Arabidopsis thaliana: one gene and its partners. The protein of the gene in region 2 interacts with the protein of the main gene of each other region in a pairwise test. Each region holds a gene or a part of one and is shown on either strand. Other genes may lie near its edges.

Evidence for each region.
Region 1: the proteins of FASS (region 2) and IAA28 interact in binary tests that used the Arabidopsis thaliana proteins (3 or more experiments, as listed by UniProt).
Region 3: the proteins of FASS (region 2) and IAA12 interact in binary tests that used the Arabidopsis thaliana proteins (3 or more experiments, as listed by UniProt).

The regions. Positions count from the first base shown.
Region 1 is NC_003076.8:9,031,151-9,034,906, reverse strand, and holds the start of IAA28 (indole-3-acetic acid inducible 28), read right to left. Parts: upstream 1,704-3,756; 5' UTR 1,428-1,703; coding exon 1,300-1,427; intron 1,109-1,299; coding exon 797-1,108; intron 534-796; coding exon 469-533; intron 376-468; coding exon 353-375; 3' UTR 1-352. UniProt on the Arabidopsis thaliana protein: Aux/IAA proteins are short-lived transcriptional factors that function as repressors of early auxin response genes at low auxin concentrations.
Region 2 is NC_003076.8:6,172,890-6,176,645, reverse strand, and holds the start of FASS (tonneau 2 (TON2)), read right to left. Parts: upstream 1,675-3,756; 5' UTR 1,493-1,674; coding exon 1,351-1,492; intron 1,099-1,350; coding exon 1,007-1,098; intron 852-1,006; coding exon 789-851; intron 712-788; coding exon 613-711; intron 528-612; coding exon 369-527; intron 137-368; coding exon 65-136; intron 1-64. Other genes in the region: EMB269 (GTP1/OBG family protein), read left to right, coding at 1,823-2,928, 3,498-3,756. UniProt on the Arabidopsis thaliana protein: Probable regulatory subunit of type 2A protein phosphatase involved in the control of the dynamic organization of the cortical cytoskeleton.
Region 3 is NC_003070.9:1,238,774-1,242,529, reverse strand, and holds IAA12 (AUX/IAA transcriptional regulator family protein), read right to left. Parts: upstream 2,237-3,756; 5' UTR 1,949-2,236; coding exon 1,746-1,948; intron 1,474-1,745; coding exon 1,187-1,473; coding exon of another isoform or gene 1,155-1,186; exon of another isoform or gene 1,106-1,154; coding exon 988-1,105; exon of another isoform or gene 915-987; coding exon 853-914; intron 770-852; coding exon 720-769; 3' UTR 373-719; downstream 1-372. Other genes in the region: AT1G04540 (Calcium-dependent lipid-binding (CaLB domain) family protein), read right to left, coding at 3,469-3,756.

The DNA of each region.
Region 1 (3,756 bases), 2.9 Mb from region 2:
AACAGGCTCTCTGGATTTTTACCTCTCTGAAAAAAACATAAAATGAGTCGGTTTGATTTCGCTAATTAAATACCATTTTCCCTACTAAAAAACGAAACGAAGGCATGAATCATATCAGGCATTGTAATCAACTTACGTGCTTACACTATTTTTATACACACGATAACATACTAACCCCCGATTTCTTAAACGAACAGCATATTTACAACCAAAACAAGAAATAACATAGCAAGCAAAAACCTAGTACATAAGTGAAAAAGAAAACCAGTAAATCAAAGCCAAACCCCATTAGTTTCCACAAAAATTACATTAAAAACAAACCATCGAACTGATGATTTTGGCCAACCTCTCTCTATTCCTTGCCATGTTTTCTAGCTGTGAAAAAATAAATAAATATATAAGTTAATTTCAAGGCAGTAATTAAGTGATGAGATGTATGAAAAAGTTTCGTAAGAATTGTAATCTTACGTGAGAGTGAGAAGGCGTGGGAGGTCTTTAAAACATGCAACCTCTTTACAGTAGATACAAACATCCTAACAAATAAAGTAAACTATATCATTAATATGTCCAATGATTCAAATTATTATCAGATAAATATCCAAAAATATGACCTTTAAAGGAAAATAATAATCTGATGAGAAATGGCCAAACTCTTTTTAGGAACTCATACTAAAAATATTTGTTAAATTCGACAAAAACAAAAGTAGATAGATATAAAATGAATTTTTGATAAAGTAAGTTCATATTCAGTTCCAGAAAAAAAAATGGAATTAGTTTTGTTTGATTTAAAACTTACTCCCAAGGAACATCCCCGACCAGAACTTTATCTCCTTCAGTGTCTTCGTAGACCAAAGTGTATTGTCTGTTTAGATCCCACGAATCTTTCTTAGAGAAGAGTTGGTCAACGGCATGTGAAAGCTGTTGGTAGTTGTTATAAGCTGAAAGGTTGACTTTTCTTCCTATTGGAACTCCTTCCATGTTGATCTTAACGTACAATTCCTTCTCTTCATCACTCTCCTTCTTCTTCATCTCCTCCTTTAGTTGTGCCGTTAGGTTTCTCCGGGATGATCTCACCGGCGGCCATCCCACCACTGGAGCTACCTCAACCCTGTTTTAGCCATATCTAGTTATAACATATACACAAATACTTTTTGATAACTAGATACCGAAACCCAAACTAATCTCCGAAAACTGTAGAATTACCAGGATTTTGTTTTTTATTTTTATTTTATTATCATATAAGACATCTACAATGAACAAGAATGATTCAAATCATTCATGAGAAGAGATTAAGAGAACCTGTTATTGGAAAGGAATGATGTTTCTTTGGTCGAGCTTTTTTGTTTAGATCCATTGATGTTGTTGTTGGAAGTGAATTGGTGACAAGGAGGAGCTAGCCTTAGCTCCAATCTCTTTTCTTCTTCCATTTTTCTAAGTTTGTGTTGTGTTTTTGGTGTTGGGGAGTATTATTATATGGGTGGTTGGCAAGGAACTACAATCCCAATCTTTTTATAAAAGTAGTCTCTTTATATTTTCTAATGAAAAGAGATTTTATTTTGAATTAATAACCACCTAACAGATCCTACTTGTATGGTTTCCGTATGTCAAAAATGCGTTTACATACGTGTATGATTCTACGAATGTGATGCGGATTGATGGGAGACACACATATATTATTTACAACGATTACTATTATATAAAGAGAATAAATTTATATGATGATCATTAGAAAAATCCAATAGACTAATTTAGAGTTATAGGTAGGTGGTTATCAAATTAAAAACCCACTTAGAATATATGGTAACATGGTTCATAGCCGTGTGGGGTCTCATACTACCGAATAACTCTGATTAATTACAAAACATATGATTCCAAAAATCTTAGATGTAATCACCAAATTATTACGCTGTCTAGACGTGTCCATTATCATTCTAATTCGATCCAAAAAGATGTGGGTAACCGAAAATTACCAAAGAACTAAAATGCTACCATAGCACCAAAGTCAAAATGAATATCCAACACATACACATAAACCAATTTAAACAAAGAGATATATAAATAACAGTGATTAGTAATACCCCTTTATTAGCTAGTGACATGAATTAAAATCATATTGAAAAATGAAAATGAATGCTATTCTTACTTAGAAAATGAAAACTATAATCATATAAACTATGTACAATTGCTTCTCTTATGCATGACATTTGTAACACATGTATTTTAGAAAATTCATGTATGTCACCGTGACTCATGAGACAAAGAAATGTATCATGCATGGTTGTGTCATCATGTGATCATCAACATAGTCATCATATGATCATCTCCACACCCATTCTTGGAGAGTAGAGGCCGACATAGAAAAGGAAACAAGAAAGAGGAAAGAGATTCCTAGGCATGCTTAAATGAGTACCTACCAATAAAAGGAGTAAAGTAGTAGGTTTTCGTTTACTAACCTTCTTCTGTTTATTTTTATTTGATATATAAGTACTGCAAATATTAATTGTATGTATACTTAGAATTCCACTACAAATTCTCTCTTTTTTCACGAAAAGTCCACTACCAACTTGGTTTTTGTTACTCTAATTTGGCCTCCATAATGTTTGTCCTTTTTTTCAAGTTACATAATCGATTGATTTACGGAAATTGCCAACCCATGAAAAGTCATCTTAAACATAATCAAGTATAACTTTAGAAATATATCAAGATGGTTTAAGGATCTTTCAACTCAATCTTAAAAAAACTTAATAGCTATGGCATATAATCAAATAAGCTGTAATTTGATTAGTGAAAATAACTAAAATGGGTCAACGCTCAAAATACTACAAATAAAACTGTTGAAATAGACACATAAAATTTGTGGCTATTTCACAGTTTCTTATAGTTGAATTGGTTTATACTTATCTTGTGTCTTTTGTCTAGAAATTTGTGGCAATCTAGAAATTCTCTTTTGTCTTTTGACCTTTTTTCATGGGTCATCACCTATTTGTTTTATTCTTTTTAACTCGGGGCAAAACAATTTCTTCAGCCGATTTATATTAATTAACCGAGAGTCCGAGACCAATATACCATGACTAATCATCACACTAATAATGACAGAGCTTATAGTGTAATTTTTACTTGATTCTGACCCTGCACATACGTGTATATAAATATAATGGAATACATTTTTAGTTAAAAATATTATAGTGTATAAATTATAATATGCATAGAACAGTGTACAGTGTTAATTATGATAAAATAGCTAACTTTTTTTATTAATTTATATTATTTATATTTTATTTATATTTTGCATGGTAAATATATTGTTAGATTTGTTTGGATTTGCTGAATATATAGAGATATTTGGAAAATCTGTGTATTTTTGTTAGTTTGATGTATATATAAATTGATTGTTTTTGTTTGAAATTTGATCAATTAGATGATATAATGTAAATTTAACTCCGCGGTACACCGTTGGTCGATTTTTTGTAACTAAAAATTCAAATTTTAAGATATAGTTGTTTTGTAAATATTGTTTATTTTGTTTAGTGTTTAAGATTATATAATTATGTTATAGTTATTAATTCTAAGATTTTACTCGTAGATTATCGTCCCGTATTAATATCAACCCAAACTCGTTCCACCATATAACTTCATTCCGTAAAATGAAAATCATTTTGTTATTTTTAAATATTGTTATTCTAATATATATAAAAATCGACGGATCGACATGTGGTACATCTTGGATTAATATATTTAAAAATAATTTGTGATTTA
Region 2 (3,756 bases):
CGACTACCTAAAGAATCTTGAGCCAATTCTAAAGTTAAAGCTTTAGAGCCACTTGAGTACTTACATCAGAATGAAGGAAACCATCAGAGTCTTCGTCAAGCTCACTCATATCAATCCTAGCTTGTGTAAGCGACACCTGAATAGTGTTGAACATATGATTAATCAAAACAAGTATTAACTATAGTTGTTTAAGTAAAAGACACGCCAAATTAAAAAAACTTGAAAAACAAACATCCAAAACTAGCAAAGCTGGTGTCACTCAAACACAGTACCAAAGAATATTTAGCTTATGGCGACAGATGATATTCAGCCAATGAACAAAAATGATACCCAAAGACATGACATTATAAAAACATAAGGATACTCACCGTGCGCATCACATAAAGATAAAACGGTAAAATGGCAATCCTCCCAGCCTCATCCTTCTCAAATTTCATGAAATTGGATGGGCTAAAAAACCGGCGACATTTGGGACCGATTTGTTCAGTGCATACAGAGGCAATGTGACAGAAGTCTTCATAGTTCATCTACATGAAAAAGACAGCGCAATATCAGCATCATTGTTAACATAGTTTCAGCTCCAGAGAAAAATCCTATAAAAGATGCACGTACCTTTTCAGCACCAGTGGCATCATCAATCACACAATTTTCTCTCAAACAAACCCACATAGCAGCCAAATCATCAGCGTTTAACAAAAGATCCGATTGTTTCTGTGGGAATTAATCAACATATCGAAGTGAGCAAAAACATTAAACTTCTTCTGAATAATTAAGAGCAGGCGAAATACCTTCAAGAAACGGTACTTTGCAAGCTTCTGGACCCTTTGACTAATAGATCCTTCTTCTGGTTTCTGAACCAAGAGTAAAGGAACAAAATTTTATTGCCTAACACGAATACTTAAAAGGAAAAACAACTTCTATGAAGTGTATAACACAATGCAATATTTTAACCGAGTAGTGCCTTGAAATGCAAAGGCAATCATTTTATACAGAGTAAGGGACATGCCTTCTTGTAGAAACTCGGTATTGTGCCTGCTTCTTGGCTTTTCTGTTGCTTCTCTTTAAAAATCTCGAGCAAGATTCTCTTCGTCTCAAGCTCTACAAAACAATGAACACAAACCCTTATCAAACTAAGCAAAACCAAAGACTCTATCACAGTTAAACATAGTCTTTCAATACATAGACATGTAAATTCAGGAACTTTACTCATATTGAAAACACAACGAGCTCTAAAATGTGATCAAAGATTCAAACTTTACAGAATTTATGACATCATCACAAGCTAAAAGATAAAAAAACTACAGACTGTCCCAACAACCAAAACGCAACAACCGGCAAAAGGAACATTACCCATTAGAGCTTCGGATCCTAATCCGGCACCGGAACCAATATATCGTCGTAGATTTCTAACCCAAAGCATCGAAGACGCCGGTGGGATCTTCCTCTGCGTCGATGTATCATGACTCTCACCATCGCTAGATCCGCTATACATTCTCGGAGATCGTCACAACCCTCGACGATAAATGTTAGTCACCAAATGAAGCAGAGAGATTAAAACCCTTAAATAGAATGGTGAGACTGAACCAGGAACTGCAGAAACCCTAAAGCGCCCCCTTTCTCTCTCTCTCCCTCTCTGGAGCTCAATCTGCGAGATCCAAGCTTCAAACTTCAAAGGTAATAAAAGTTTCTCCTTGTTTGCTATATAAGTCCTCAATTTTATACTACTTTTGATTGTAACCCCCTTTACTTTGAAAAATCAATATTTAGTACAAAATGTTGTTTATATCACATAAAGTCCCGTTAAGATTTATCAGAGAAACAAATGGCTTCCATATCCATTAACTGTTTCTTCACTCCTCAAGCTCTAGCCCGACCCAGTAGGACGAGGAAGATTTTCGCTAAACCTGACAAAGTCTCGGGAAGAACCCGAAGCCCTAGAAAAACGAAGCTTCAACGCGAAGTCGAGCTTAAATCTCGAGGCGGTGATAAACTCCAGCCAGTTTCTGATGCCGGCGGCGAAGCCACTACTTATACACGTCTTCCTCCTAGGGAAGATTACTATGATGTCTCTCTTTTGTCTTCATCTTATTTAAAAGTTTCTGAAGAAGTGAAGCTATCTGAGTCCAATGTCGCGAGGGTTGAGGAAAAGATTGAAACTTTGAGGGAAATTGAGGAAGAAGAGAAAGAAAAGGAGGTGAAGAGTTATGATGATGATGATATTTGGGGAAATTACAGAAGATTAGATGTGTTTGAAGGGAGTTCAAGATCAATTGATGAAGATGATGAAGATTGGGAAGACGAAGTGTTTGAGTATGGTGATGAAACTGATGCGGAGAAAGATGATAGTGAAGGGTCTGAATTGAAGGATGGAGAAGTGTTATGTTTCTCCGGTGAAGAGGAAGAGGATGAAATTGGGGTGAAGGAGAAAGGAGTTCCGGCTGTGATGAGGTGTTTCGATAGAGCGAAGATATATGTTAGAGCCGGAGATGGAGGGAATGGTGTGGTGGCGTTTAGGAGAGAAAAGTTTGTTCCTTTTGGAGGACCTTCAGGTGGAGATGGAGGGAGAGGAGGGAATGTGTATGTAGAGGTTGATGGGTCTATGAATTCGTTGTTGCCATTTCGCAAGAGTGTGCATTTCAGGGCGGGACGTGGGGAACATGGGAGAGGGAAGATGCAGAGTGGAGCTAAAGGTGATAATGTCGTGGTGAAAGTGGCTCCTGGGACGGTGGTTAGACAGGCTAGAGAGGTTGGGAGTGAGGTGGAGGGTGAGGAAGGGGAGGAGAAGGAGGTGCTTTTGGAGTTGTTGCATCCGGGACAGAGGGCGTTGTTGTTGCCTGGAGGGAGAGGTGGACGAGGGAATGCTTCGTTTAAGTCGGGGATGAATAAAGTTCCTAGGATTGCTGAGAATGGCGAAGAAGGTCCTGAAATGTAAGTGTGTATTTTTCTTCATTTTTGAGCTGGTTTTAGTTTAGTGTGTTGATGATGGTTACAAGCTTTGATAGGATAAACTAATCACAGAAGCTAGATTGTTCAAAGATGTAAAAATTTCATTTTGGTTTAGGAACAGTTGATTTGTATTTCTTTTGTTTGGTAAAGCTTGATGTTTACATGTGAGCCCTGCTTCCTTCATTCGATCATCTGGGTTAGGTTTAGTATCTCGGTTAATCTCCAGAGGAAATCTCATCTTGTAAGTAATGCTCACTATACAAGAATTTATATATAGATACAGGTACAGGACTTTTGAAAGTCTTCCATTGCTGACTCTGCTAGTAGAAAAGCTCATGTTGATAGAGGTATGTTAGAGTATTATGAACGGATATGAGTTTCTGGGTTATCTATAGACTGGATTGGGTACTCTTAGAGTCCAACACTATCATGCTGTTGGAGAATTATGAGACTGTGTTTGCCTTTAGGAAATGTAATATGTGGTTCATATATATATTTTTTTTTTTCTGGGAAGCTCTGATTCCCAATTATAACTTTACATATGCCTATAGGTGGCTGGACTTAGAACTGAAACTGGTCGCAGACGTAGGTATTGTGGGTGCTCCAAATGCAGGAAAAAGCACATTGTTGAGCGTGATAAGTGCCGCACAGCCAACCATAGCAAATTACCCATTCACCACATTACTTCCCAATCTAGGTGTGGTTTCATTTGATTACGATTCAACAATGGTGGTCGCAGATCTTCCTGGTTTGCTCGAAGGAGCGCACAGAGGCTTCGGTTTAGGCCATGAGTTTCTTCGGCACACTGAG
Region 3 (3,756 bases), on a different chromosome or scaffold from region 2:
TAAACAATCCATAACCTTATTATATTTTGATTTGGTGACGTGAATCCAAACATTTGTTATTTTCTTTGTCTTCAACTATCAGATTAAGAATAAAATCTTTACTTTTCAAAGTTTATCAATTTAAAGTAGTTTGCAGTTTTAAAAGATAACTCTTAACGTATTTTGTGTGAATTTAAGAACAATTAAGGACAAAACTTTTGATGGTCAAAACTTTTCTTGTCATCAATCATCAATATATGATTTTGATGGTCTTAGAAACATCTTCTCTTCGACCAAAAAAAATAAACATCTTCTCTGTTTTTTTTAATGACACACTCTTCTCTGTTTCTGCAAAACGTTTTGACTCGAGTCAATGGAAACTTCAAAAAGACAGAAAACAACAAACCATATTAAGGAACAAATATTCATTCTTTGGAATCATAAACATAACTCTTATCACATTAATTAGATAACTTCAACTATTTACAATCTGAGAGAACAAATAAACAAGAGCTTTCTCTCACAGAACATAGATAATTGGTACACAGCCAAAGAAGAAACAAACTGGAAAACTACGAATTGAATGACCTAAGCAAAACCATATCCGAAAACCGGATTCAAATCATATCTAAGCTTCTGCATGCTTTTATCCATATTCTCCAAAATACTTTCTTCAAAAAGTATCGAGTAAATTGCAAACCTCAAACAATACATAAACAATGCCAGCTTTGGAAGGGAAGCTAAACAGGGTTGTTTCTTTGTCTATCCTTCTGCTCTTGACGTCTTGGAGCTGCATTAAAAATGATTCAATCAGTCTTTTTCATTAGTCAAGACGAGAAATCAAGAAACCAGAAGATGATCTTTAAAACTTACCTAGTCCACTAGCTTCTGAGGTTCCCATGATCCGAAGCCTTTTCACCGAGTTGATAAACATTCTAAACAAAAAGAGAGAAAAGAGACTAATCAGGTTTTGAACTACTGCAATACTGCTTAATATCCGAATCTTACCTCCATGGAACATCTCCAACAAGCATCCAATCCCCTTCCTTATCTTCATAAGTGAGTACAAAGTCTGATGATCCATCTAAAAGCCTTAAAGGTTTAACCTTTTCTCGACAAGTAGTACCTGATAGATAAAACAGAAACTATCAGTAGATTCATAGAAAACATCGGGTTTATAGTGTACGCATTTGAAAACAGTACAGACCTGTCATTCCAAAGAACATTTCCTCAAGCGTCTGAGCCAAGTTTTCGTAAGACGAATGAGCTCTCATATCCACTTTTCTGCCTATACCAACTCCATCCATATTCACCTTAACAAACCCTAAGCCCTGAACTTTCGGATTCACCTTCATTGACACATCTTTGAGCTCATCATTCTTCACAACTTTCTTCTCCCCGTCTCCTTCTTCCGCTCTTGCTGCCTTCATAGCTTGGTTATTAACCAAACTGTTCATCCTGTGTAACCCAATTGGTGGCCATCCTACCACTTGACTGCCACAACAAACCAAGAAATTTCCACTCAATGGCTCTCGAAATTCAGATGTAATCATCTAAACAGACATTAAAATGAACAAATCTTAGCATTTGCATGACTCCATAGAGAAATCTATAGCACAGGACAAGCACAAGCTCATCAATGGAGATAGATACCTAACTCTTATTCAGGGTAAACTAAAACAAAAGCACCTACACAATTCTGTCCTGAGATGGCATAACACTCACATCACAAGATTTGAGCTTTCTTAATAAGAAAAAGGACGAACCTTGAACGAGGAGGAGAAGCTCCTTGGTGAGAGGAAGATTCAGCAGAGCGTTTAGACCCAACGGAAGGAAAATCCTTAGCAGTAAGAATCCTCCCACGCTCTTTCCACGCGCCACCACCGAGGCTGAGCCCTAATCCCAATTCCAGCTCACTCTCCGCCGGAAGATTACTCTTCCCCACCTCCAATTCTGACACACCACGCATGTCAATAACAAAACCCTAGACTCCAATGATACCAGCAGAGAAAGTGTCTTTCAAATAACCCACACAAAAAAGAAGCTTGATGACACAGAGAGAATGGAGACAACAAGAAGAGAAAGAGTGTATTTAGGGTTTGAGAGAGACGAGAGAAAGAGATGATGAAAACAGAGTAAAAGAGAGAGAGAGAGAGGAGGATTTTGGTGGTGGAGAGAGTGATGAGAATTGGGACCCATATGTCTTGTAATGGCCATACCAATTTTTTCTAACCAAAAGTCTTCTCCTTTGTTATAAAATATTGTTTGTTTTCTCTCAAAACTTGTCTTCCGACATAATCAAACCTGTTGTGCTCTCGTTGGGATATCGTTGTTGTGTTTGGTTCAAGCAGCAAGAGAAAATAGAGAGTCCCAAGAAACTTGTTTACAGTTGTATGTGTGTGTGCAAGGTTTTGCTTTGTGTTGCTGTTGCATCATAATATAGTTCTTTTTTGTTTTCTTTTCCGCTTGTGGTTTTTTTCTTTTCTTAACCAAAAATTGTATTGCTTTAGCCTTTAGGATGAAGAGTCTCTGTTTTAAATACCATTTTTCTTTAATTTGGGCTAATCAAAAAATCTAAATTAACTTTTATATTTCATATACTATGTATTGGTTACATTGCTCCTAGATTTTAGACCTAATTTTAGTCTCTCTTTAACAGGTTGGCCATCATTCTTTATACTAGCAAACTCGTTTATGGTCATATGCCATTTGCATATTGACCATTTGATTATCTTTCTTTTCTAATAACTAAGATAATATATATTTTCAACTTTTTCCTTAGACCATGATTGTTGTCGAACAAGATTATAAAAGAAAGTGAGGGAAAAAAAATGGTGGGAAAAGATGCATTATTATAAAATCGTGGTGATGAGATATTCATCATTATGTTTGATGATCCTTTGAAAACTTTTGCAGGCGCAATTGGTTTGTGGAAATTACACTTTTGATCAAAATCATTATCAAGGAGTACATAGATTTCATGCTCTAATTGATGGATTTGATAGAAAATAAACTAAATAACCGGTTATATCATGTATGAATCAAATAAGTATACATAATACATGAAAGTATAGTTAGAAATGCAGAATTTGTATATTTATTTTAGTTTTTTTTAGATTAATGTTTATATCATTTTGTTTCTTTTTAATTTTAGTCACCATTGTCTACAATACCAACATTTGTTCACTCACTCTTAGATTTCATTTTTATATTTTTTTTATTCCACTCACTCTCTTACATTCATTCACAGTTTTCTAATTTTGTTGTGTGAGCTCACTTTCTATTAAACACTATATTATAAGAAGAACATTTTTTAATTTTTTAAAAATAAGGAAGAAGAAGAGGAATACACAAAAATAAATGATTTATTAACACAACATTAATAAATTAATTTTTGTTTACTATTTGATTAATTCATCAGCTCAGATCCTTAAAAAATATAGTTTTCCAAAAAAAATAAAAGTTAATATAAGACCAATAAAATAAAGATCACACAAAGCTCAGATCGTCAGCGGAATATGTGCGTTGCACACGTCCGGCTCCACCTTTCTTAGTAGATCCTTCTGAGACCATCGGCCCACCACCACCACCGCATACGAAACTGCATTCCACACCACAAATCTTACTAAAACACGAGAAAAGTCCATTACCTCCATCTGTGTGACGGCGGTTATGCTTTTTCGTCGTCGGAGTTTTCCGTCTTGAACTCATTCCTCCCCCGGCAGTTGCAGCTGGAACGCTCGCGCCATCGTAATCAGTGCTACTTATATGGCTTGA